Stegostoma tigrinum: one gene and its partners. The protein of the gene in region 1 purifies or fractionates together with the protein of each later gene. This does not show direct contact. Links are inferred from orthologs where the notes say so. Each region holds a gene or a part of one and is shown in the gene's direction. Other genes may lie near its edges.

What was found.
Region 2: the proteins of cdk1 (region 1) and ccnd1 purify together in Homo sapiens (affinity purification with mass spectrometry; 4 studies listed by BioGRID and IntAct, counting the BioPlex papers as one, with this or other methods). This does not show direct contact. The link is inferred for Stegostoma tigrinum from reciprocal best matches to the Homo sapiens genes CDK1 and CCND1.
Region 3: the proteins of cdk1 (region 1) and cdkn1bb purify together in Homo sapiens (affinity purification with mass spectrometry; 8 studies listed by BioGRID and IntAct, counting the BioPlex papers as one, with this or other methods). This does not show direct contact. The link is inferred for Stegostoma tigrinum from reciprocal best matches to the Homo sapiens genes CDK1 and CDKN1B.

Annotation. Positions count from the first base shown.
Region 1 is NC_081373.1:51,575,537-51,583,095, forward strand, and holds the start of cdk1 (cyclin-dependent kinase 1), read left to right. Parts: upstream 1-4,230; 5' UTR 4,231-4,255; intron 4,256-4,334; exon of another isoform or gene 4,335-4,487; intron 4,488-4,531; exon of another isoform or gene 4,532-4,555; intron 4,556-4,592; exon of another isoform or gene 4,593-4,713; intron 4,714-6,575; 5' UTR 6,576-6,672; intron 6,673-7,559. UniProt on the Homo sapiens protein: Plays a key role in the control of the eukaryotic cell cycle by modulating the centrosome cycle as well as mitotic onset; promotes G2-M transition via association with multiple interphase cyclins.
Region 2 is NC_081370.1:61,635,463-61,643,512, forward strand, and holds the start of ccnd1 (G1/S-specific cyclin-D1), read left to right. Parts: upstream 1-4,675; 5' UTR 4,676-4,895; coding exon 4,896-5,093; intron 5,094-6,509; coding exon 6,510-6,725; intron 6,726-7,807; coding exon 7,808-7,967; intron 7,968-8,050. UniProt on the Homo sapiens protein: Regulatory component of the cyclin D1-CDK4 (DC) complex that phosphorylates and inhibits members of the retinoblastoma (RB) protein family including RB1 and regulates the cell-cycle during G(1)/S transition.
Region 3 is NC_081371.1:28,400,334-28,408,152, forward strand, and holds the start of cdkn1bb (cyclin dependent kinase inhibitor 1Bb), read left to right. Parts: upstream 1-4,444; 5' UTR 4,445-4,781; coding exon 4,782-5,262; intron 5,263-5,650; coding exon 5,651-5,775; 3' UTR 5,776-5,790; intron 5,791-7,306; 3' UTR 7,307-7,819. UniProt on the Homo sapiens protein: Important regulator of cell cycle progression. Inhibits the kinase activity of CDK2 bound to cyclin A, but has little inhibitory activity on CDK2 bound to SPDYA. Involved in G1 arrest. Potent inhibitor of cyclin E- and cyclin A-CDK2 complexes.

The DNA of each region.
Region 1 (7,559 bases):
CATACAAATTAGTGGTAAGGTTAATACAATATAAAGATAGCAATAGAAGTAAGTGAGCAGTATAATCAAAACTCATTATGGCAGTAGTTCAGATGTTTGTGAAGTCTGCGGCACATGGCAGCCCATGGAGTGTGGCTCACTGGTAAGCCTCACACTGCAAGGGACCCAGGTTCAATTCCAGCCCCAGGCAACTGTCTACATAGAGTTTGCACGTTGTCCCTGTGATTGCATGGGATCCCCCTGGGCGCTCTTGTTTCCTCCCACAGTCCAAGGATGTGCAGGTTAGGTCAACTGGCCAAGCTAAACGGCCAAGCTGGGCGGCACGGTGGCTCAGTGGTTAGCACTGCAGCCTCACAGCGCCAGGGACCTGGGTTCAATTCCAGCCTCGGGCAACTGTCTGTGTGGAGTTTGCACGTTCTCCCCGTGTCTGCGTGGGTTTCCTCCAGGTGCTCCGGTTTCCTCCCACAGTCCAAAGATGTGCAGGCTAGGTGGATTGACCATGCTAAATTGCCCATAGTGTTCAGGGGTGTGTGGGTTATGGGGGGATGGGTCTGGGTGGGATGCTTCAAGGGGTCATGTGGACTTGTTGGGCCAAAGGCCTGTTTCCACACTGTAGGGAATCTAATCTAATCTAAACTGCCTGTAGTGTCCAGGGATGCTTAGGCTAGGTGGATTAGCAGGGTTAGGGGGTGCTTTTTGGAAGGTTGGTTTAGACTTGATGGGCTGAACGGCCTGCTTCTACACTGTGTCTGTGGTAAGAGCTTAGCTTCAGCGGGGAGCTTATGAACGAGGCTGAACTAGAGACACTGTGATGTATGACTGAGGGGGAAGGTTACCTGGATTTTCCCATACCAGGAGGCAGTCATACCACTTAGGATAGAGTCTTCTGATTTGGTCAGTGTTCAGGGTGAGTAGGCTGTATTTGTCAGGCAGCTAAGGGAATGCAGGGCACAGAATGCCAGTCTGTGCAATTGCCCAATAGCTGTGGGGTTCTCTAAGCCTGTTTGGATGAGAACAGGAGTTGCGGGCTGGATAAAAAAAAAACTGACTCTGGCACTGTGGTACAGGAAACCACTTGAGTCAAGAGAAAAACAGGGAACATAGTGGAAGCAGGGGATCGTACAATGAAAGGGACTGACACTCTGCAGCAAACAGTGACAGTCCAGGTGTCTATCCTGCCTGTCCAGTGCCAGGACTCAGGCTATCTGCTCAAAACTGGACAGTGACCTGCAGCACAACAGCGAGGATCCAGTTGTCATGGTCCATGTAGGTACCAACAACAGAGAGAGAGTTAGGAAAGGGGTTCTGGACCGGGAGTATGAGAAGCCAGGCACGGAATTAAAAAGCAGAGCCTCAAAGGTTTGAATCTCTGGATTACTACCTGCGCCGTGTACAAATTGGCATGGGGACATAAAGTTAGAGAGGTGAATACATGGCTCAATGATTGGAGTGGGGGATATAGGTTCTGGTTTGTAGGCCACTGTCACAAGAGCTGGGAGAAGTGGGGACTGTACTCTTGGGGCAGTCTATATCCAGAACTGCGCTGGACCCAATGCTCTTGTGAAATTTAACAGTGAGGACTAAGACACTGGATGTGGCATGTCAGAAAGTGGAGACTGGGTAAGAGAGGTAAACAGTTATGTGGGAATTGAGGGTCAGAGAGATAAACCAGGAATACTCCAATAATCAAGACTAAATGTCACAAAGACAATAAAAAACAAAACTAATGTCTCTGCTTAAGAATCTGCACTGCATTTATAATAAAGTAAATATCTTGATAGTGCACAGTGAAATTAAGAAATACAATCTGAGGGCCATTACGGAAACATTTGTTATCTCAGATTCTTCAGCATCTGCAGTTCCTATTATCTCTGCAGGACAAGAAGGATTGGATCCTGAATATTGCAAGTATATGATATTCGAAAACAAAAGCAAGTTAGATAAAGATGGATGATTAGCAATGTTACTCAAAGGTGGCACAGTGTGTAACAAAGTATATAGGGTGTTTGTAATATAAAGGGACGGCAATGATCATGGGTAACTTTAATCTCCCTGGTACCCAGCACATATGGGAATTGGGAGCTTTTTATTTTAGCAGCATCAGACGGCTGCATGAGAAATGACTCAAGAAGAACGTGCGTTGTAAAACTGTGCAGCCAGAACTGTTCATAAACACCTGGCCATGGTAGGTGGTTCTGAGTTTATCGATAAGATAATTCTTGAAATGGCTTTAATAAAACATCTGATCCTTTATTCCTTTCCAATACCTATCGCTGGTCAAGTATAATATGCGTGCATGTCTGAAAACTGAAAACAAAACCTTAAAACAGAAAGTCTTTTTGAAAGCAGCTTGGAACAGACATGTAGGCACACTGAGTTTAAGCCCCTTAGAAAGACAAAACAGTGGTTCAGCGGTTAGTACCGCTGCATCACAGCACCAGGGACCTGGCTTCAATTCCACCCTTGAGTGACTGTGTGGACTTTGTATGTTATTCCTGTGTCTGCACAGATTTCCAACCACAGTCCAAAGATGTGCAGGATAAATGGATTGGCCATGCTAAATTGCCTGTAGTGTGCAGACTATGTGGATTAGTGTGGGAAATGCAAGGTTTACAGGGATTGGGTGGGATGTTCTTCAGGGGATTGGTGTGGACTTGATGAGCCACGTAGACTGCTTACACATTGTAGGGATTCCAAGGTCATAAAAAGACCTCACTTTTCGGGCCATTCAAGCGAAGCTAAGAATTTGTCAACAAGGTTTGAACAGATCTGAATGATCGTGGGGCACGAGGAGGGCGTAAGAGGAAAATTGAGTTGAGGCCACAATCAGACATTCCATGATCTGTTTGAATGAGGGGACACATCTGAGGGGCTGAATGGCCCACAACTACTCCCTATTTCTGAGATAGTAGGAACTGCCAATGCTGGAGAATTGAGATAACATGGTGTGGAGCTGGATGAACTCTGCAGGCCAAGCAGCATCAGAGGAGCAGGAAAGCTGATGTTTCGGGTCTGGATCCTTCTTCAGAAATAGTCCCTATTTCTTCTGATTTTACCCACCCTCCATGTCAACTTGGTGATTGGGCTGGTTCTGAGGTTGGCTGTTTTTGAAGGTCATTGGGAAATGTGACCAGAAACGAACAGTTCAGCAGGTCAAGAAGAGGATCCCCCAAAAACCCTTCCCCTGAGTCAAATCCAAAGCCAATTTTGGGGGCGGAATGGTGTCTCAGTGGTTAGCACTGAGCCTCACAGCACCAGGGAACCAGGTTCGATTCCAGCCTCGGGCTACTGTCAGTGTGGAGTTTGCACATTCTCCCCGTGTCTGCGTGGGTTTCCTCCACATGCTCCGGTTTCCTCCAACAGTCCAAAGATGTGCAGGTTAGGTGGATTGGCCAGGCTAAATTGCCCATAGTGTTCAAGGGTGTGTGGCTTATAGGGTGGGATGCTCCAAGGGGCGGTGTGGACTTGTTGGGCCAAAGGGCCTGTTTCCACACTGTAGGGAATCTAATCTAATCTGTGCCAATATGTGAGTTCAAAAATGACTAGTATCTTCCTCTCCAACAAATGCAGAGAGCTTCGGGTCACCTGAGCCACCTCAGGAGATGCTGACCACCAGGGTGCAAACCAATATCTTACAAGGCAGGAGGCAATAACAGTGCCAAAACCTGCCATTTAAAATCCGCCCGCTCACCTCAAACCTTTAGCGAAACAAAAAAATCCAGCAACCGGAAAAACAATCCAAGTTTGCGCTCAAGTTTCGGGCCGTCCCTGACCGCCTCCAAAGTTCCCTGCCTGATTCCAGACCCAGTGGTGACCCAGCTCTCTGATGAAGGGTCTAGGCCCGAAACGTCAGCTTTTGTGCTCCTGAGATGCTGCTTGGCCTGCTGTGTTCATCCAGCCTCACATTTTATTACCAGTGGTGACATGCCCCGCCCCATCGTCAGACCCCGCCCTTTATCGGACCACGCCCCACGGTCAGACCCCGCCCCATCATCGGGCCCCTCCCCACTATCGAACATCGCCCCGTCCCCAGACACCGCCTCATCGACGTGCCCCGCCCCATCGTCAAATCCCGCCCCGTCCGCAGGTTCCGCCCATCCTGGGGCCCCGCCCCACGGTCGGAAGCAGACTGACGGTCAGGCCCCGCCCCGCCTCCAGGCCCCGCCCATTCACCGCTACCGCTGAGCTCCGGCGTTTCGCGCCTTTCTCGTTGGCCACCTAAGCGCTGGGCGAAGGACCTCAGCGAGCTCCCCCGGTTTGATTGGCCCCTTTGAATCCAAATGGCGGCGCGGATTGGCTACGGGTTTGAATCAGGGAGGGAGCGGTTGGAGGGGGAAGAGCGAGCGAGTGGCGTTCAAACTGCGGCGGGAGCGGGCACGGCAACGGGTAGTGTTGGTCTCTCTGTGTCAGCCCAGCGCTGCTCGGCCTGTTACAGCAGCCCCTTCGTCATCGCCGCCGCGCTGCTTGCAGGTTGGCCCCGGCGGCAGGTGGGGACCAGGAATAAAAACCGCCTCCCGGGCGATGGGAGATCCCCTCCCATCGCCCGGCTCGAGGGGTACGTCGGGGGTGGCAAACCTCAGGCCCGGGCTGAATCTGGGCCTCCTGGACGTGCCCGAGGTGGTAGTGGTTGGAAGGGTGGTCGTCAGACTAACTTCTGAAGGCTACACGTGAACCTATTTTTTTAAACTCACGGCTGTAGCACCTGCTGTAATTGTTAGTGTCGATGTTTATTCCTGTTTTTGTAGAGTTGACCAACAATCTGCTTTGGTTAGATGAGGCTGAGGGGGTTTAAGAGCGGTTTCTATTATAAGAGTAGCGAGATCATTAACCGCGGACAAAATTTGAAATAATTGGTTTAGAGGTGAAGTAAGTAACTTTTCGCATCCAAAGGGGTCGTAATACCTGAACGAATTGTGCCTTTAACATACTTGTGTATTTGTGGTGCTATTAACTACAGAATTACGGACCAAGAATTGGAAAAATCATCACCATTCCAGTACTGAAGAAGGGTCCTATCGCATTTGAAATATTTATTTCTCCAAAGATAGTGCCAGACCCACTGAATCTCACCAGCGCTTTGTTTTTATTTAACAATCTGTACGCTCACAGTACTTTTGATAGTTAAAAATGGGACTGGGCTTGAGGACTCATAACTGTCAAAGATGTAGCGATTGAGATGTACAGCATGATCTTCATTCTTAATACATTCATGGGATGAGGGTGTTGCTGGCTTGGCAGCACTATTGCCTATCCGTAATTGCCCAGAGGCAGTTCAGAGTCTAACATATTGCTGAGTCTAGAGCCGCATGTAGGCCAGACCAGGTAAGGAAGGTAGTTTCCTTCCCTAAAGGACATTAGTGAACCAGGTGGGTATTTCCTGACAATTGACAATGGATTCACAGTTGTCATTAGAGTTTTAATTCCAGATATTTTATTGAATTCAAATTCCCCCATCTGCTGTGGTGGGATTCTGGTCCCCAGAATGTTGTGTGGTCTCTGGATTAACAATCCAGCAATAATACAACCACGTCATTGCCATCCCCCTTTTGTCCAACTCGTCCATGCCGAACAGTTATCCTAAACTAATCTAGTCCCATTTGCCACTACTTGGCCTGTATGCCTCTAAACCTTTCCTGTTCATAGACCCATCCAAATGCCTTTTAAATGTTGTAATTTTTCCAAGCTTCCACTTCCTATGGCAGCTCATTCTGTTACATATTGTGTGAAAAAGTTGTCTGTTGGGTCCCTTTTAAATCTTTCCTCTCTCTCCTTAAACATAATTGACTAAATTGTTTCTTCTGTGCTGTAAAAGCATACAAAAGCAAGGGAATTATGGTGAACCTTTGTAAAACTGATTTGACCTCAACAAATACTTTCCATACTGTACCACATGAGCCTAAATTGCATGGATAGGGTGAAACTGTTCCTGATCTTGGAAGAATCACTGATTTAAGGACATGAAGTGACATGAAGCGCAATCTTTCTCATCTGCAAGTGGTTAGAATCTAGAATGCAGTGCCTGAGAATGTTATGAAGGCAGTCTCAGTTATAGATTTTAGAAGAGTTTTTTTTCTCTGAAGAGAAATCGTGAAAAGTGGTCTGGTGAGACTAGCTGTTTTGGGCACCTGCCATGAACATACTGCATGACTATCTATTTCCACCCAACCTGTGTTATCACTATTCTGAAATTATCTGCTTCTATCAATGAATGTCATGGCCAGAAAGGCTGTTGGACCGTGGGTCTGGAAAATCTGGTTATTTCATGCTGTAGGTGGTTGCCTCGTGACCTCCTCTGGAAAGTGTGGGCTTTGGCATGTTTTAGTTATGATGTCCAATCATGCTCGTTGGCCAGTACCATAGTGGTTCAATTGTGAAGAATATTAATTATTCTTCTCACTTAATTGGATGCTTTAGAGTCGCCAAGACTGTCAATCTGGAGAAATTCTGATACCAGCCCCCCTCTTTATATGCTGTATTGCTGACATTAGGTCAGTTTTACTGCTTGTAATTTTCTTCATCTAAAGTCAAGGTACGGAAGAAATTTGTAACATATGGGCTTATCTGAATTTCAACAGACCATCTGTCCATTACACTGGTCAAAGCTGCAAGGATCAACCTGTATCAAAGTTATTCCTAGAAGATTTAACCTGGGTCTTTTGCCTGTTAATACGGGTAAGTTTTCTGATATTTTAAATTTTAACCTCTTGATCCTTTGTAAGTTCTTCACCTGTTGTTTAACATTATGAACTTTCCAAGTTTTCTTCAAAATTTACAGGCAACTATCACAATGACAATGAGGTAGAGCTTTCTTGGGGGAACCAAAATGCATAACAACACACATCCAAGTCAAACATATCTATCTTCCCCTCTGTCACAATTATCACCAGATTGTTGCATTGTCCAATTTATATTTTGATAATAACTTGTCAGAAGATCTACAGGCAGATTCAAGGATAACTGATCAAGGGCATTAAAACCAATTGTTAGTATCCAGCCAAAGGAAGGGAGAAGAAGTTAAGAATGAACTGCAGTGATTCCTTGGCATACTGCAAAAACTGATTCCCTTTACTGCAGGGAGTAAATTATACGGTGTAATCAAAAGTAGTGCAGTTTGGCTACATAGAAACCGACTGACTATGGTTCAAGTAATAAATACTAAATGCTCTCCAGGTGAGAGCTACTTGGCAGGTCATTTTAAGAGAATGAATGTGAGATAGGAATAGGGTTAAGAGAATCATCAGCTCCCACAGGAAAGTTAACAGGAGGGAACAGGTCTAAAATTGTTGAATCCTGAGGGCAGACCTGTCAGTATGATTGTTCCCTCTGGCACACTGGTTCACAGTATGTGGAATTTTTTTAAAGGGAAGGAAAATTTGTTTGGTCATAGCATGATGCTGGGTGATGTGGGAAAAGGTGAAGGATGATCTGAGTGCAGTAAAAGATATGAAGTCTGGGTGGGGTAAAAGATTGTAAAAGTGTAGACTGATAGGAATTCTTGGTTAAGAAATCAAGACCTCTTGGTTCATAGCTTGTATTTTTGCAGTATCTCTAATAAAATG
Region 2 (8,050 bases), on another chromosome or scaffold:
ATAGGTGGGGAGGTAGGGAGGGGATAGGTCAGTCCAGGGAAGATGGATAGGTCAAGGAGGTGGGATGAGGTTAGTAGGTAGGAAATGGAGGTGCAGCTTGAGGTGGGAGGAAGGGATGGGTGAGAGGAAGAACAGGTTAGGGAGCGAAGACAGGCTGGGCTGGTTTTGGGATGCAGTGGGTGGAGGGGATGAGCTGGGCTGGTTATGTGATGCAGTGGGGGGAGGGGACAGACTGGGCTGGGTTTGGGATGCGGTAGGGGAAGGGGAGATTTTGAAGCTTGTGAAGTCCACATTGATACCATTGGGCTGCAGGGTTCCTAAGCGGAATATGAGTTGCAACTCATATTCCGCTTGGGAACCCTGCAGGCCAATGGTATCAATGTGGACTTCACAAGCTTCAAAATCTCCCCTTCCCCTACCGCATCCCAAAACCAGCCCAGTTCTTCCCCTCCCCCCACTGCATCACAAAACCAGCCCAGCTCTTCCCCTCCCCCCACTGCATCACAAATCCAGTCCAACCTGTCTCTGCCTCCCTAACCTGTTCTTCCTCACCCATCCCTTCCTCCCACCTCAAGCCGTGCCTCCATTTCCTACCTACCAACCTCATCCCACCTCCTTGACCTGTCCGTCTTCCCTGGCCTGACCTACCCCCTCCCTACCTCCCCACCTATACTCTCCTCTCTACCTATCTTCTTTTTTCTCCATCTTCGGTCCACCTCCCCCTCTCTCCCCATCCCCGTCTCTGATAAAGGGTCTAGGCCCGAAACGTCAGCTTTTGTGCTCCTGAGATGCTGCTTGGCCTGCTGTGTTCATCCAGCCCCACACTTTATTATCTTAAAGTCACTCCTCAACCTCCTACGCTCCAATGAAATGAGTCCCAACCTATCCAGCCTATTTTTGTAGCTCAGACTAACCACTCTCAACAACATCCTGGTAAATCTTTACTGAACACTCTCCAATTTAATAATATCCTTCCTATAGCCAGGTGACCAATTGTGTGTAGAGGTGTGACACAATGATATGGGGGGGGGGTACAGTTTTAAGAACTCTTACCATTGCCACATTTGGTTTTACGTAAGCAAGAAAGATAAATAATTTTGTTCATAAATGTCACTCAATTGCCAAAAAAAACAACAGGGATGTTTTTCTGCAATGGTACAGGGCCTTGATGAGACCACATCAGGAATATTTTGTGCAGTTTTGCTCTCCTTACCTGTGGAAGGACGTTCTGGCTGTGGAGGGAGCACAGTGAAGGTCTACCAGACTGATTCTTGGGATGAAAGGAGTGGTTTATGAAGAGAGACAGGATCAGTTTGGACTATATTCACAGGAGTTTAGAATAATGAGGAAGAATGTCACAGAAATCTATAAATTTCCAGAAGAACTAACCATGGTAGATGCATGAAGAATATTCTCGATAGCTGGGGAGTCCAGAACCAGGGCTCACAATCTCAAGATACAGTGCTGGCCATTTAGGATTGACAAGAGGATAAATGTCTTCATCCAAAGAGTGGGGAGCCTGTGGAATTCTCTGCCACAGAAAGCCGTTCAGGCCAAAACATCGAATTTTGTCAAGCAGGTAGATATAGTTGCTAAGACTAAAGGGGTCAAAGAATACGGAGAGAAAACAGAAACTGAGTTGGATGATCAGCAAGATCATATGGAATGGGGTGGCAGCTTAGAAGGGCTGAATAGCCTTCTACCGTTCCTATTTTCTATGTTTCTAAACTACTGAGTTTGAGGGCAATTAGAGACGGCCAATAGACACTGCCCTTGCCAGTAATGCCTATAATCCTATGAAAGAACAAAGAAAACATGCAACTGAGCAGCGAGGCTTTCCGTTTTGGTGGAAATTAATATGAGGCAAGTTCTGAAGAATGATCGCTGATCCAGAGGCGTTAAAGTGTTTCTCTCTCCACAGATGCTGCCAGACTCGCTGAGTTGCTCTGGCATTTTCTTCCAAAATGACAACTGGGTTAACCTGCAGAGATGGCAGGAACTGCCGATGCTGGAGAATCTGAGATAACAAGGTGTAGAGCTGGATGAACACAGCAGGCCAAGCAGCATCAGAGGAGCAGGAAAGCTGACGTTTCGGGTCTGGACCCTTCTTCCGAAAATCTGCCATCGTCAATATTTAAAAAAAACTCTTCGTAAATGAAATCAGTAAATCAAACAGCAGCGTGTTGAAAGGCGTGAGATTTTATACATATATAGCCTTTTGCCAGTAATAGCGGCTAGTTTAGTTCTGGAGATTAGATACCGAAACAATCCATATTAATCTTTCATCTTTGCCTACAAACTTGTCGTGACGCTTATCGCTGCCTCAGTCATTTTCCGCCTACCTGGAACAGCACTGGGTTACCTGTCCAGTTAACACACCTACCGTACTAACCTGTGTAAGCGCCGCCATCCACACTCTGTGCTGACACGCTTTCGAGTGTCAGCGAAAATCCGGGTTGAATAAAAACACGCCAGGAAGGTTTACAGCGATATTATCGGCAACATTTTTATTTTATTTTGTGTGTGGAGCGCTTAATGGAGATTTTTTTTAGAAGTTCAATCAGCAACTTGTTTCTGTGTATTTTTGTTAATTTCTCTGAACTTTCTCATGGCGATCGGAATGGGTCACCGCCTCCTCTTTGAAAATGGAATTGCGTTCCAGTTTTCAGTGAAAATTAGTTTCGATATTAAGAGTCACAGGCCAGACCGCGGCCACCGTTTAGATGTGAGCCTGAAAGTAAACCCACGCTCTCATTTCCACCGCTACTATTTTATTTTAAAATAAAGAAGCTCCCCCTGCCCCAAAAGGCAGAATTTCACAATACACAGCATCATCGCGCCGGGAAGTGAAAGTCTACAAAACGTGACTTCCGACCCTCCGCCCGCTCTGCGCTGAATTTGCTCTCGCACTGGCGGCGAGTGAGGGGCAGAGTTGGAGAGATGTTACCTCAGCGTTCCGTTCCCAAGCCCTCCTCTGCAATAAAACAGTACCCCACGCCCTAGCCCGGTCCAGCCCTTTGTTTTGTTATTTTTTCTCACTCTTTAAAAATAGATCCTAATAATAGGATTATAATTTTATTTGCTACAAATGCTGACACACAGGAATGTTTGGGAGCGGTGTTTTTCGGGAATGGGGGGGTCATTGCAGGACTGCGAGGCGAAATCTTCAGGCAATCAGTAGCGTCGTTTCTGTGCGTGGTGGTGTGTGTGTATATTTTAAGTGAAATGCACAGATCCCTCCTCACATCCGTTTTGACAAATGATCTGAGTTGCTCGGCAAAAGCTTCCTCTGTTCGGAACAATAGCTTAGCTGTATTACGGTAATTAGATGCAAGCGGAGCATGTGGAGCTGTTAATGTAGGAGCAACTTGGAATCTCAGGAATGTCCCGGCTTCCATTAATGATCATGCGACAAAATTCACAGCGAGAGAGAGAGAGAGAGAAAGGGGAAAAGAAATAAGACTCTAAGAGACGGAGAAAGGGAGGGGAGGGGGTAATCTTTCTCACCATTCAATAAAATTATAGGAGCGATTAGAAAGAGAAAATAACAGGCCAGCCACAATGAATTAAAAATAAGACGATCTTATCTCTGAATCACCATTAAAGCAAAGGTTACAAAGGGCTTGATTGAAAAGTTTTGCAATTCTGTAAAACAGAAAGGAACTGTGATTCAGTACAGTGTGTGTTTAAAACAATGCAACACATTTACATCAAGGTGATCCCGATTTTTCAAGCCGCACGCCCGGCCCCCCGCCCCCCCGATCAAACTCCATTGTGAGCGCCCACATTCCTTCGAACAAAAGAGACGGCGCTGGATGCCTGAGTGATCGATGATCGCTGAGGCTCCGGGCTCGTTGATCTGCCTAGTAACAATCTTTTCCGCCATTGGCTATGCTAATACCTTCGCCTCTTATTTCTACCGGCGTAAGGGGTTTCCTCTGACAGACCGAGCAAGTTTTGCCAACTGAACTTCATCCCTCCCCTCCACCCCGATTCCGGAGAGAGAAAAAAAATCTTTTTCAAGTGAAGAGAGAGTTTTTGTTTTTTTTAAAAAACACGCAGAAATAAAGAAGCCGGGAAGAGGAGCACATGCAAAGCAGGAAGCGTTGGGGATAGACTAGGCTGACCCCTGGATTGCGAAGCTGTCGTAGCAGCAGTGAAAAATTAATAACCATGGGGTCGGAATTTTGCACAAATGCAAATGATCATAATGCACCAAAATGCATGTTTTATCCCAGTGGGCACAGTAATCGCTTCCTCAGATATATGCGTGCGCGGCTGCTTTGCACGGACCTAGAGGTTTTCAGTGTAGAATAAATCTTATTTTTAACATTAATTCTGCTCCCATTGTACCCAATGCTCGCGACTTTCACTGAACTGTCAGTCAATCGTGGGATGACTGACAGCTGAGTACAAGTTCCCACTGAATGCAAGGACTGAGGTTTAATTTTTGCAAATATGTAAGTGTGCAATGTTGCACACAGATCTGGGAACATGTCCGGCTCCTAGACACACACACAAAAGTTTCAAAATAAGCCCCCGTCGCCGCAATAAGGTTGAATTTGAGTGGATCTTGCTTCGGAATGGGGGCGGCTTTATCAGCTCCGTTGCCCTTCCCAACCCACACAGACACACACACACACACACACCCCCACCCCCCGGGTTGGCCTCTCTCGTTCCTCCTTTGATCTTCCCAGCCGCAGCTGCTCTACATAACAACTCAAAGCCGATTGCGTCACTCGCGGGCAAGTTATAGTTAAAGTTTTTTTTCCCCTGAACTAGAGCCTCCAGAGGCAGCAGCATCCCTTGCTTTAGTCAATGCAATAAGGAGAGAGAGAAAGAAAGGAAGGAAAGGGGTGAGAGAGAGAGAGAGAGCAGAGCAGAGCGCCCTAGCAATGGAACATCAGCTGCTATGTTGCGAAGGAGAGGCTATCAGAAGAGCTTATAACGATCCCAATCTCATCAATGATCGTGTCCTGCAGACTATGCTCAGAAGCGAAGAGAACAGCCTGCCCTCTCTCAGCTATTTCAAGTGCGTCCAAAAAGACATTGCGCCTTCCATGAGGAAGATTGTTGCGACTTGGATGCTGGAGGTTTGTGCACAGAATCTTATACAGAACCTAGATATCTCTCTCTCTCTCTCTCTCTTGTAGTTATACTCTGGGTATCGAACGATGTGCAGGACCTGACATTTGTGCTTTGCAGGACGTCAGTGCAGCCCGATTCTGCCCAGATTTTTTTTAAACTTGCAAGCTGGCGGCACAACTGTTGAATTTGTCATAGAGACCCCTGTAAATTCCACCCCCGCCCCGCATCCCAGCCATCCCGCTTTCCTTGCTTTCCATCTGAGTGGGGTTACTGATGTAATGTTTTAAATGCAGTTCCTCTTACCGCTCTCTCTCCCTCTTGTCCTCTAAACACCTCCCTCCCACACCCTTTGCTGTGTGCCCACAAACAGACCCACACTCACCCCTGACCATGAGCTGGTTACGGGGCAGTAAGGTGAGGTGATGTATTGGAAGGGCCGGTCGATGGGGGGAGGCTGCTATGGAAAAGGAGAAAACGCTCTCAATGCCGTATCCCAGTCACCCAGCCCATCTACCCCTCTCTCTGTCCCTCGGCCCCAGCTCCTGGGGCTCAGAAATGAATTTTAACCCCAAAATGAGGTTGTACACGTATGCAGCTCAATGCGTGCCAGTATTCAACGCCATCTTTGTTCAGAATAACTCGAGAACCCCCTCCCCTTCCAAACGCCTCACTGGGTCTGGGCAAGGATGGGGGGGGTGCTTTTTACCTCTTTGGGAGGGTGGCAAGCCCAGGGTTGCGGGGGGAATGTTGCTGAATTTCCGGGTGTGAAACTGACAGAGATTTCCTCCAAAGTCAGGGTCTCAGCCAAAACTTCCCAGACCCTGTGTATCTGACCCCTCTCGGGGAGAAAGGTCTCAAATTCATGGGCAAAAGTGGGGTCAGAGGGCTGGAGAAGGCGCCCGGTACAAAGTTGAGAGCCCGCTGCACATTTTCGTGCTGTTTCCGTGCTGTTCCGCCCTCGATGAGTATTTTTAATCATTTTTTGAAGGAGCGCAGCGGCTGGTTTATGATCGGGGCGCAGATTGCAGCGTTACCCCCGGGGGGACTCTCATTTCACTCCCTTTGGCAAGTTTAACCACCTGAAAATGCCCCCAGCATTGGCCAGTTAGAAAGAGCGCCGGTTGCGCTGGATTTTCGTCCCCTTTTGGGCGCCCGGGCTAATTTTTAAATATTTTTAAATATTTTTTGAAAAGATGACGACGCGAAAATTCAAGCCGGGTTTGGGAAAGAGGGAGAGAGACAGGAGGAGGGGAGTCTGTCTGTCTGTCCAACTCAGTCCAAATTCCTGGGTCTGAGAAAAGGGTGAGAAGGAGAAATGATGGAGGGTGAGAATTTTTTTGGGGGGGTTACGGGTGTGTGGAATAACCCCCCCCGGCACCCTCCAGGTAATTTTCCACTTTGTGGTGTTGCCCCTTCTGTAGGTTTGCGAGGAGCAGAAATGCGAGGAAGAGGTGTTTCCGATGGCCATGAATTATTTGGATAGATACCTGTCGATCGAACTGACCAAGAAGACCCACTTGCAATTACTGGGAGCTACTTGCATGTTCCTGGCGTCAAAAATGAAGGAAACGATTCCGTTAACAGCGGAAAAATTGTGCATTTATACCGACAACTCTATCCGGCCCGAGGAATTACTGGTAAATAGCCAATCTCTTTCCCTGTCCGCCCCCCCAAAAAAAACGCCAATGCCCTCTATCTGAGCTCAAATCTCAGTCCTCAGAACTCTCTCTCAATCTTCCTTGAATATCTCCTCCTCCAATGTATCACCAGCAGTAACTCCTTCCCAGCTCTACCCCCCCCCCCAGATATTGTGCAAACACAGACACTTTCAACCAGATTCTCGCATTTAAGGAGTATTCAGTGATACTCAATTTGCAAGTCTCTTCCTAATGCTCCTCAAGTTAATCAGAAGCAATGTTTCACAGATCCCCTACGCGCCCCCCCCCCCCTACACACAAATAAAACACAAGCATCTATATCCCATTCACAAGCCCCTCCAATTTGGGAACCCCCAATAATTTTCTTTATCATCGTGCGCTGACAATTATTTCCGCTTTCCCCCAGTCCAATAGCCGGAAAAGAAACTGTTGCAAAAGGAATCTCGAACGTTGTCACTGAGTTTTAGAAGTAGGGCTTGAGGGATTTTTCGTTTTTGTTTTGTAGATTCTCGGTGTTCCAGACTTCTGTTGTTGAACACTGAACAGTTCTGGGGTTTTATAAAGTGGAGCGTGCAGGACCTCAAATGCAGAGGAACTGAACTTAATATTTTAGCCCCACTCCCCTTGTTTCTGAGGCGGAAGGCAATTGCGAGGGGGTGGCGCCCTCTTTTGAGATCAGCGGCTGTACCCTGCTGGGACCCTGCTCTGAACAGCGTCCTGTCGATTAGATATCAAATCAAGAGCAGATTAGTTTATTTCTTTTGTTTTTTTAAAAATGTATTCCATAGGTCACAGTTGCGCACAACATACAGACTCTGTTTAAACTCAACATTTACAACAGTGATTTTATTTTTTTCCTAACTTTGGTACAATGCGGAAGCATATTAAGTATCTATTTTCCAGCAATACGTTTTGCAAATATGCCAGTGGTATCTAAAATACATTTATTCTCAACAGAAGCACTTCCCAGCCCATTTTAGTCATTTGTTTAAAGTACAGTACAATCTATCAGTCTCTGCTGCAGGACTGGCACAGCCCACATGTGTATGTTTCTGTTTCAGCAAATGGAGCTGCTTGTGCTCAACAAGCTGAAGTGGGATCTAGCCTCTGTGACCCCCCACGATTTCATTGAACACTTCCTCAACAAGCTACCCATACCCAAGGACAGCAAGCAGATCATCCGCAAACATGCACAGACATTTGTGGCTCTATGTGCTACAGGTACGGAGTCTCACTCAAACAACTGTGTCAAGCTGGGGGGGAAGTGGAATTACTGTTCATCTTCCTGAATGGTAGGGGCCAAG
Region 3 (7,819 bases), on another chromosome or scaffold:
TCTTATCCTTGGCTGCTACCTCATGCTGTACTGTTCAAGCTTTAACTGCTTCCTTCCCTATAGTCAATCGAGCACGCACCAGGCCGCCTTTGTTTCACTTCTACAACAATGCCTGCCTTTTACCCATCTGTCTTTCTTTCCCATCAAAACCCAATTCCATACATTTATAGGTCGATTACTACTCTCCTCCAATGATAACTGTCCCAATTCTATCATTTAAAAATCACAGGTACTGAGAATGTTACAGCTATTCCATCTCCTACATGAAGGCCTTATTACCATTACACCACCAAATTCAAGTAGCTTCCTACTGCTGCAAAGAACTGGATTCTCTTTCAAATCCCTCCAATAACTTTCCTACCCATCCAATAACCACTGCACTCCCCACCGGTGGCCACATAATGCATGATATCCACCATCTCTTCACCCTTGAATACACTCCTATGTCTGGATTGTTGCCCCATTGTTCATTTCTCACCCTTTGTGTTTCCCCTTCCTGCTTTTCTTTCTGTTGATTTATTTTCTTCTCTACTTGGGACTCTTTCAAAATTTTCTTCCCCATATTCCAATCTGAGACATTTTTGAAGGCTCCGACAATGTTCCAAAATATTAGTGTATGGGAACATTGGAGCAAGAGTAGACCATTCACTTGGGTTCATTCCACTAAATTTGATCATGGCTGATCATCTACATCAATCCAATCATTCCACTCTATCCCCATAACACTTGATGTTAGAAATCTATTAACTTATGCCTTGAACATAATGCAACAGTGCCCTGTGTGGCAGAAAATTCTTTTAGACTAACACCTCCACTTTCCCAGCTAGGGGAAATATTGTTCCACACCCAACTTGTCCAGTTCTTTAAAAAATTTGTACATTTCTAAATGTTAGTGAACATAGGCCCAGCCTCCTCAATCAGTCCTCAATTACAGGAATTAATCTGGGGAAACTCTGGAGTTCCCTCTACAGCATGTATATCCTTCCTTAGATAAGGTGACCAAATTATACACAATACTTCAGATATGGTCTCACCAAGGTTCTATACAATTGAAACAAAACATTTTTACTGTTTACTCAAATCCTCTTGTAATAGAATCCAACATGCCATTCACCTTCCTGATTGCTTGCCGCATCTGTATGTCATCTATCAGTGACTTATGAACAAGGACCATTTTCCCCTTTGGGCATAAACACTGCTCAATTTCTGAAGAAATACTATGCACCTCATTATTCCTATCACAAGTGAATAATCTCACACTTATTCATATTAAATTCCATCTGCCATATTTTTTCCCATTCTTTGTATCCTCCTCACAATTTAGATTCCCACTTAGTTATGTGCGATCAGCAAACTTAGAAATATTACATTTGGTCCTCATTTCCAAATCATTGACATAGATTGTGAACACCTAGGGCCCAAACACTAATCTTTTACCCATCTGTTTCTTTCTGTTAACCAGATTCAATCCATGCTAGTATATTGCCCTTTATCCCACATGCTCTAATTTTCCTCACTAATATCCTAGGTGGTACTTTACCAACAAGCTTCTCAGAATCCAAGTGCACAAGATTCACTAGTCCAATAGCTCCCCACTACCAACTAAAAAAAACTCCAACACGTTTGTCATTATGATTTTCATTTCATACGTCCATGTTCACACTGACCAATTGGATGATTATCAGCTACCATACATTTTATAGAGTCCACTATTTTTCCTATCACTGATGTCAGGCTACCACACCTGCAGTGCCTTATTTTCTCTTTGCTGTTTTTCTTAAGTAATGACATTATATTTCAACGTTTACAATTTGGAAGTATTATACAGAATCAATAGAATCTTGAAAGATGACAACAAATGCATCCACTCTCTCTAAAGCCACCTCTTTCAATACTCTAGGTTGTGGATTATTGGATCCCAGCAATTCAATTTTCAGTCCCAGTAATTCTGCAGGACTACATTTTTTTAAACCACACCTTTTTTTCAGTTCTTCAATTCATTAGTTTCTTTGAACTATTATTTCTGGGAAATTTCTTGTACCCATTCCCATTATAAATTACCCCATATCTGTTTGTCATGGACCCACATTTGTCTTTCCTATTTATATACGTATATAAGCTGTTTTTTTTTGTTTTGGGTTGGGTTCATATTCTATTCTCCCCATATTACAATCATTAAGAACTTGCAACAAACTGTCATGCACATGGTTGCAAAATTCAGCATAGCTATTGAGGTGCAACAAATGCAACGATCCGATGCCTTGTCTGAATGGCTTTACAGAGATAAACAATCCTTCAATGGCTAGATCAAATATGAGACTACTGCTATATGTGCCCATAGCAATTCATATGCAAAATCCTAACTGAATGTTGGACGCTCCATTGATATTCTTCCCTATTCCACTATCCCGTTCCCGTTTCGCTGTCAAGGATTTAACAGAATTTGGCGCAAATTAGATTATTGAGTGACAGGGGTAAATGCTGTACTTTAACTAATAAGAATAACTCATAATGGTTAAGATAACCTCTCTGAAGTTTGTCTTATATAAGAATCGGTGATTCCGCATGCATTATAAGCCACCACCGCCCCCCCGCCCCCCGAAGATGGGGCGGGATATAATGCTCAAGTGTACTAAGACTGATTGTAACTACATTTGGAAAATGTGCTCTGGGTAAATCGGAGATTTATTTACTTTGTGTCAGCTTTGTTTGGGCGATACATCTTGAAACACATTACAAATTACTCCACGGTTTTACCAAAGGAGTCGTCGTTTATCCGAGAGAAACACAAATACGGCGTTTGCCCTTTCCCTGCAGTGTCCCCAAAAGAGTGATTCAAAAATATACTAGGTGTGATTGCGAAGCACAATAAAACAATTCTAAGCAATGATAATTTACACTGAAAATACTTTCTGAATCAGTTACTTTCTAGCTTTTGTCTTGCGACCTCATTACAATCAAGACCGTTCATATTTTTCTTTGCTGCGCCCAGTATTTATAAGTAAACACAGCGCAATTAATGTGCAAACAGTGAGATCGACCTCTGCATTTCAGTTCTGTTGACGTCCTAATGTTTACCAAAATTGACTGTTTTCTTGGAATACAATCACAGAACATGTTTTACAGTGAGATCTGAGTCTTCATTTCGTTTCCCAAATACTACATACACTGAGGTGAAGGAAAAGTCGCCTTTACGTATCGAGTCTCGAAAAGCGATCCCTGGATGTCTTGGGTAGCTCCTAAACATAACACCTTGTAACAGCTATGAATGCGTCTAGAAGGCTCTCAAACAACTGCCGAGAAATCAACTACAAGACGTTTTTACGGTTATGTTTAATTCTTGAAAACGACATCATAATTTCTGACGCGCCCTTTTAGCACTCTGTGCAGTCACCTGCTGTATTGCTGAAGGGAGACACGAGTTGCCAGTTAAACTACAGTATCTACAATGAAAATATGATTTACAAACTCTCACCCACGTTAATATTTTAAAATAGAAAGAGAACCCCGTATTTTGTGAATTCGACTACATTACTATTGTTTCATAGCCTTTATTCTGCACTCACCCGGCCAGTTTCAGATGATTAATCCACAAAAGTGGTAAACTGCACAATTGAGAGCGGTTATTGGCAGAAAGTCCAAGATCGGAGTTAAAAAAATTCCGCCAAGAAACATGTTTACGTCGCATAAAAGGAAACCAGTTAAGATTTTAAAATATAACCGACACACTGTTAACCCCTTGAGCACTTTCCAGTAAAGTTACTCGGTTGGTCATGCGTGCTGCGGCTGTGCTCAATCATTAGCGAAATCATTCATCTCACTGAAAATTCTCCAGTTTTGGGATGTCTGAGCATTCATCGAGAGCAATTTTCATGAATAGCCTGATTACTCTCGATCATTTATTGCGAGGTGTTTGCTGCATTTGTAGGATTTTAACAATTAGTAATGTGCATTTTGAGGTGTAGGATAGCTGGTTTATAAACAAAACACTTGGATGTGCTCATGAGCTGCCCTATCGTCCAGGGCTACGGACCAAGAGTTGGAAGCTGGGAGGGAGGCTGGATGACGTTTACCCGTCTAGTACGGAAACGATGGACCAAATGCACTCCTACGCTGTCATATGTTTTTTTTAATGTCCCTAATAGTCGGTATAAAGTCACTTCAATGAATCTAAGTGATGCAATATGTAGGAGAATTCACGTTTGCTGCGGGAGAGCTGTGTTTGCTGCGGCTGTCGGGTTGATGGCGCTACGAGCTGACTCCTCTTTAGTAGGTTTCACGCTTCGCTAATACTTCTCCATAGGCGCCTACCTCTCACTCTCCCTTCGAGGAGGGAGGGGGAGAGAAGAGAGAGATTGCTTGTCAATAAACAAAACGTTTTTAGATCATTACAAGGTCGCTCCCAGCCTAGAGCAAGCTCGTTCCCGAGTCCCAGCCCTACACTTGAGGGCGGGACAAGGGCGGAGCAGCTTCACTCCGGCCAATCGCAGGGTGCTCTCTTTTTAAAATTCCCTGTCCGTCACTCAGTTTCCTCTTCGTCAGCCTCCTTCGCCATATTGGGTAACTGAAAAAAAAGCCAGTTTTTTTTCCGCCTTACTGGAATCAGTTTTGACGAGCGATAGGTTGTAAACTGCTGCTGTTGTTGGCGTTTTTGTTGTGGTTCTGTGCTTTGCAGCTTTCTGAAGAATTGCACGATATTGTTACATCGTGTAACCTTGCAGTCCTGCTGTCTGTGAGGCTTCGGACGATTTGCAGCGAGAGGGGGTACGAAGGGAAAAAAAATGTCAAACGTACGCATTTCTAATGGTAGCCCTTCGCTGGAGAGAATGGCAGCTCAGCAAGGAGGGCACCCAAAACCTTCAGCCTGCAGGAATCTTTTCGGTCCCGTAAACCACGACGAGTTGAACCGAGAGTTACAAAAGAAACAGAAGGAGATCCGCGAGCAGGACAGGCGGAGGTGGAATTACGACTTCGAGAGGGACAAGCCGCTGGATGGGAATTACAAATGGGAAGCCGTGGATTGCAAGGATGTGCCTCATTTTTACTGGGGTTCTCCCAGGGAGCAAGTGTCATCAGCCGATTGCAGTATGGATGTGAACGGGAACCATGCGATAGTTTGCGCAGGAACTCTGGCTCAGGGAAATTCAGGGGAGACACACTTTGCGAATTCAGAGCAAAAGGACGTGGTTAAAGAGACAACTGAACATTTCACGGACTCAAAAGAGCAGTGCTGTAGTCCCCGAAAACGAGCTGCGTCAGTCGGTAAGTGACAAAGATGTACTCTATTGGGAGTTGCAGGATCCATTTTCAAACGGACCTTTCTGACCTTTTTTTTCGCGCAAAAAGAAGCTTTCACTGCCAACCAGTGGTTTATTCACATATTTCCGCGGACCTGCTTTTAAAATCGTGCAGTTCTTGGTCTGTTTGGGGTTAAGCATGAGTTCCCCTACGTTTGAAAAAGGATACTGCAACTTCAAAGGCCTTTTACAAAGATGAAGCAAACGGCTTTTCTCCCCCCTTCAACAAGCTTGAGATGTGGTTGACTACTACCCATCAGCACGACGAACCTTCATTAAGGAGTAACGCACATAATATACTATCATACTGAATTTTTTTTTACAAATTTTAATTTAGCTTTTCTTGATTATAGATGGCTTTCCAGAAGCAAAAAGAACCAACACAGCGACGGAGTCAGACTGGTCAGCAAATTCTCCCAATATAAATACATTAGAGAAGACGCCGAAGAAATCGATTTCGAGCGGGCATCAAACATAAAGCAAAAGTGACAAGGTAGCTCTTCTGTACCTTTTTTCAATTGACTGTCTCCTCCCAAAATATCATATAACAACAAAGGTAGCAACAAGACTTTATACTGCATTAACCGGTTGGCCTCACTGGCCCAGGTTTGAAAGCGTACACAGGGTTGTAATGTCACTCGTGTTTCTTTGCTATATTTTCTGACCGACACGTATGCACAGGTGATTATTTCCAGCTGTTTTCAAATAACCAGATACACTGTAGCGTTCTGCACAAGTTAAACATCTTGGGTGTCCTTTCCTTCCCTCCACAATACGGTAGATTGCTTTGCACAAGTCTTGTCAATAAAGTCTCAGGACTGACTGCGAAAACGTAGTACATTACGCGGGGGAGTGCGCAACCACAACTGTAATGTGTCTTTGTAGGCTTTATACATTGGGCATTTTTTCCCTTTACGCCAACTTCCAACATTAATACAATAAAACAAGAAATAATCACGATTAAAAACAGATCACAGGAGGAAGCTGTTCTTTATCTCCCCGGCTGATGTACAAGCAGCATTCAAAATTACACTTGCGGTTGAGTCCAAGGTTGTAGAATAGCTGCATGGCACATATATTTTAACGTTTCTCTCATTTCCCCTATGATTTTATAAGTTGTAGTAAAATGTGAGTGGCGGGACTATGTGGTGTACACTCAGGTTTAATATACAAACAAGGGGTGTGGTGGGGAAGCTAGCTTTTTAAATAGCTAGTCTCAACAAATTAAAATTTAATGGAGATGCTTATTTCTTGGCTCTGTCCACATTCGTAGTCAAAGTCGTGCATTGAAAATATTGTCCACTACTTTTTGTGAAGTATTGTGTATGCTAAACTGTCTTCTGTATCAGTTTCAGATAGAACAAGGTGTGTTTGCACTGAGATTTTAAAACATCCTAATTAGACTACAGATATATTGCCCTGTGCAGTTGTGATATTTCTTTAAGTTGGTAGGTCTAACTAGTCAGATCCAAAAACTCTCTCTTTAAGAAACCTATATAGGTGACTTTCTTTCAGGTAGTGCTGCCACACTCACCATATCTCCCCCCTGGCCCAAAGCAAATCAGTTTGCTTTTTAAAGGAAAGGCCTGGATGCACCACAGCTAACTATATTCAATAACAAGTAATACATATTTGTGCATTTGAAAATTATAGCAACTAGTTAAATGTGGTTCTTGTGTCTAAAGTCCCACCATGCTGACAAATGCATTTTTTGATTACTTCCAGGCAGTGTAACTTGTCCAGTTGCTAGATTTTTAAATCAAATATTGAAATATCATGTTAATAACATGATCATATCTGTGCACAAGTCTTAGCACTAATGGTATTAGTTGGCTCAGTGTCCAGTTGAATAACCAATTGCTTAACCCTTTTGCCAACTGTACCCTGTAATCAGCAGCTGAGTTGAAATTATCAGTGTAGCTATGCCAAATAGCATTTTAAGTAATTCCAATGATACATAATTACCAAACATTGTATTAATCTTTTTACTTTGTATTTTTCCTTGTTAGGTATGAAGATCCTTTTTTTTCCCCCTTGTTCATCCATGGCAGTGCTTGATGAAGCGAGGACGATCTCCTCAGAGACAGACATATCGTTATCTCTCCAAGTGTGGAGAGCCCAGGCACTGAACTTGTGAACACTAAACCGCTGATTTTAGAGTGGATATAGCGCTGTGCAATTAGGTTCTTCCTTTATCACTTGGCTGATTTTACTACCTGTGTACATAGTTTTTTTTTGTAGCACATAAATCATTTTTGGGGGGTGGGTGGGGTGAAGGGGAGGAAGTGGGAAACTGTTAAAATGCAGAGTTTAGAAAATGTATGACTTGAATAGTAGCAGTGTAGTTTTCCAATGCAGTTTAGAAACTGCAAAGTTACAATACCTGTGTATTGTATGTTTAAAAGAATAAAAAAATCTAAAATGTACCTGTGTACATAACTTTGTAAAGACACTGAGAAATTATACTAACTTATTTATGTTATAAAGAATTGATGTTTTTGAAATCTAGAAGATAATTTTCC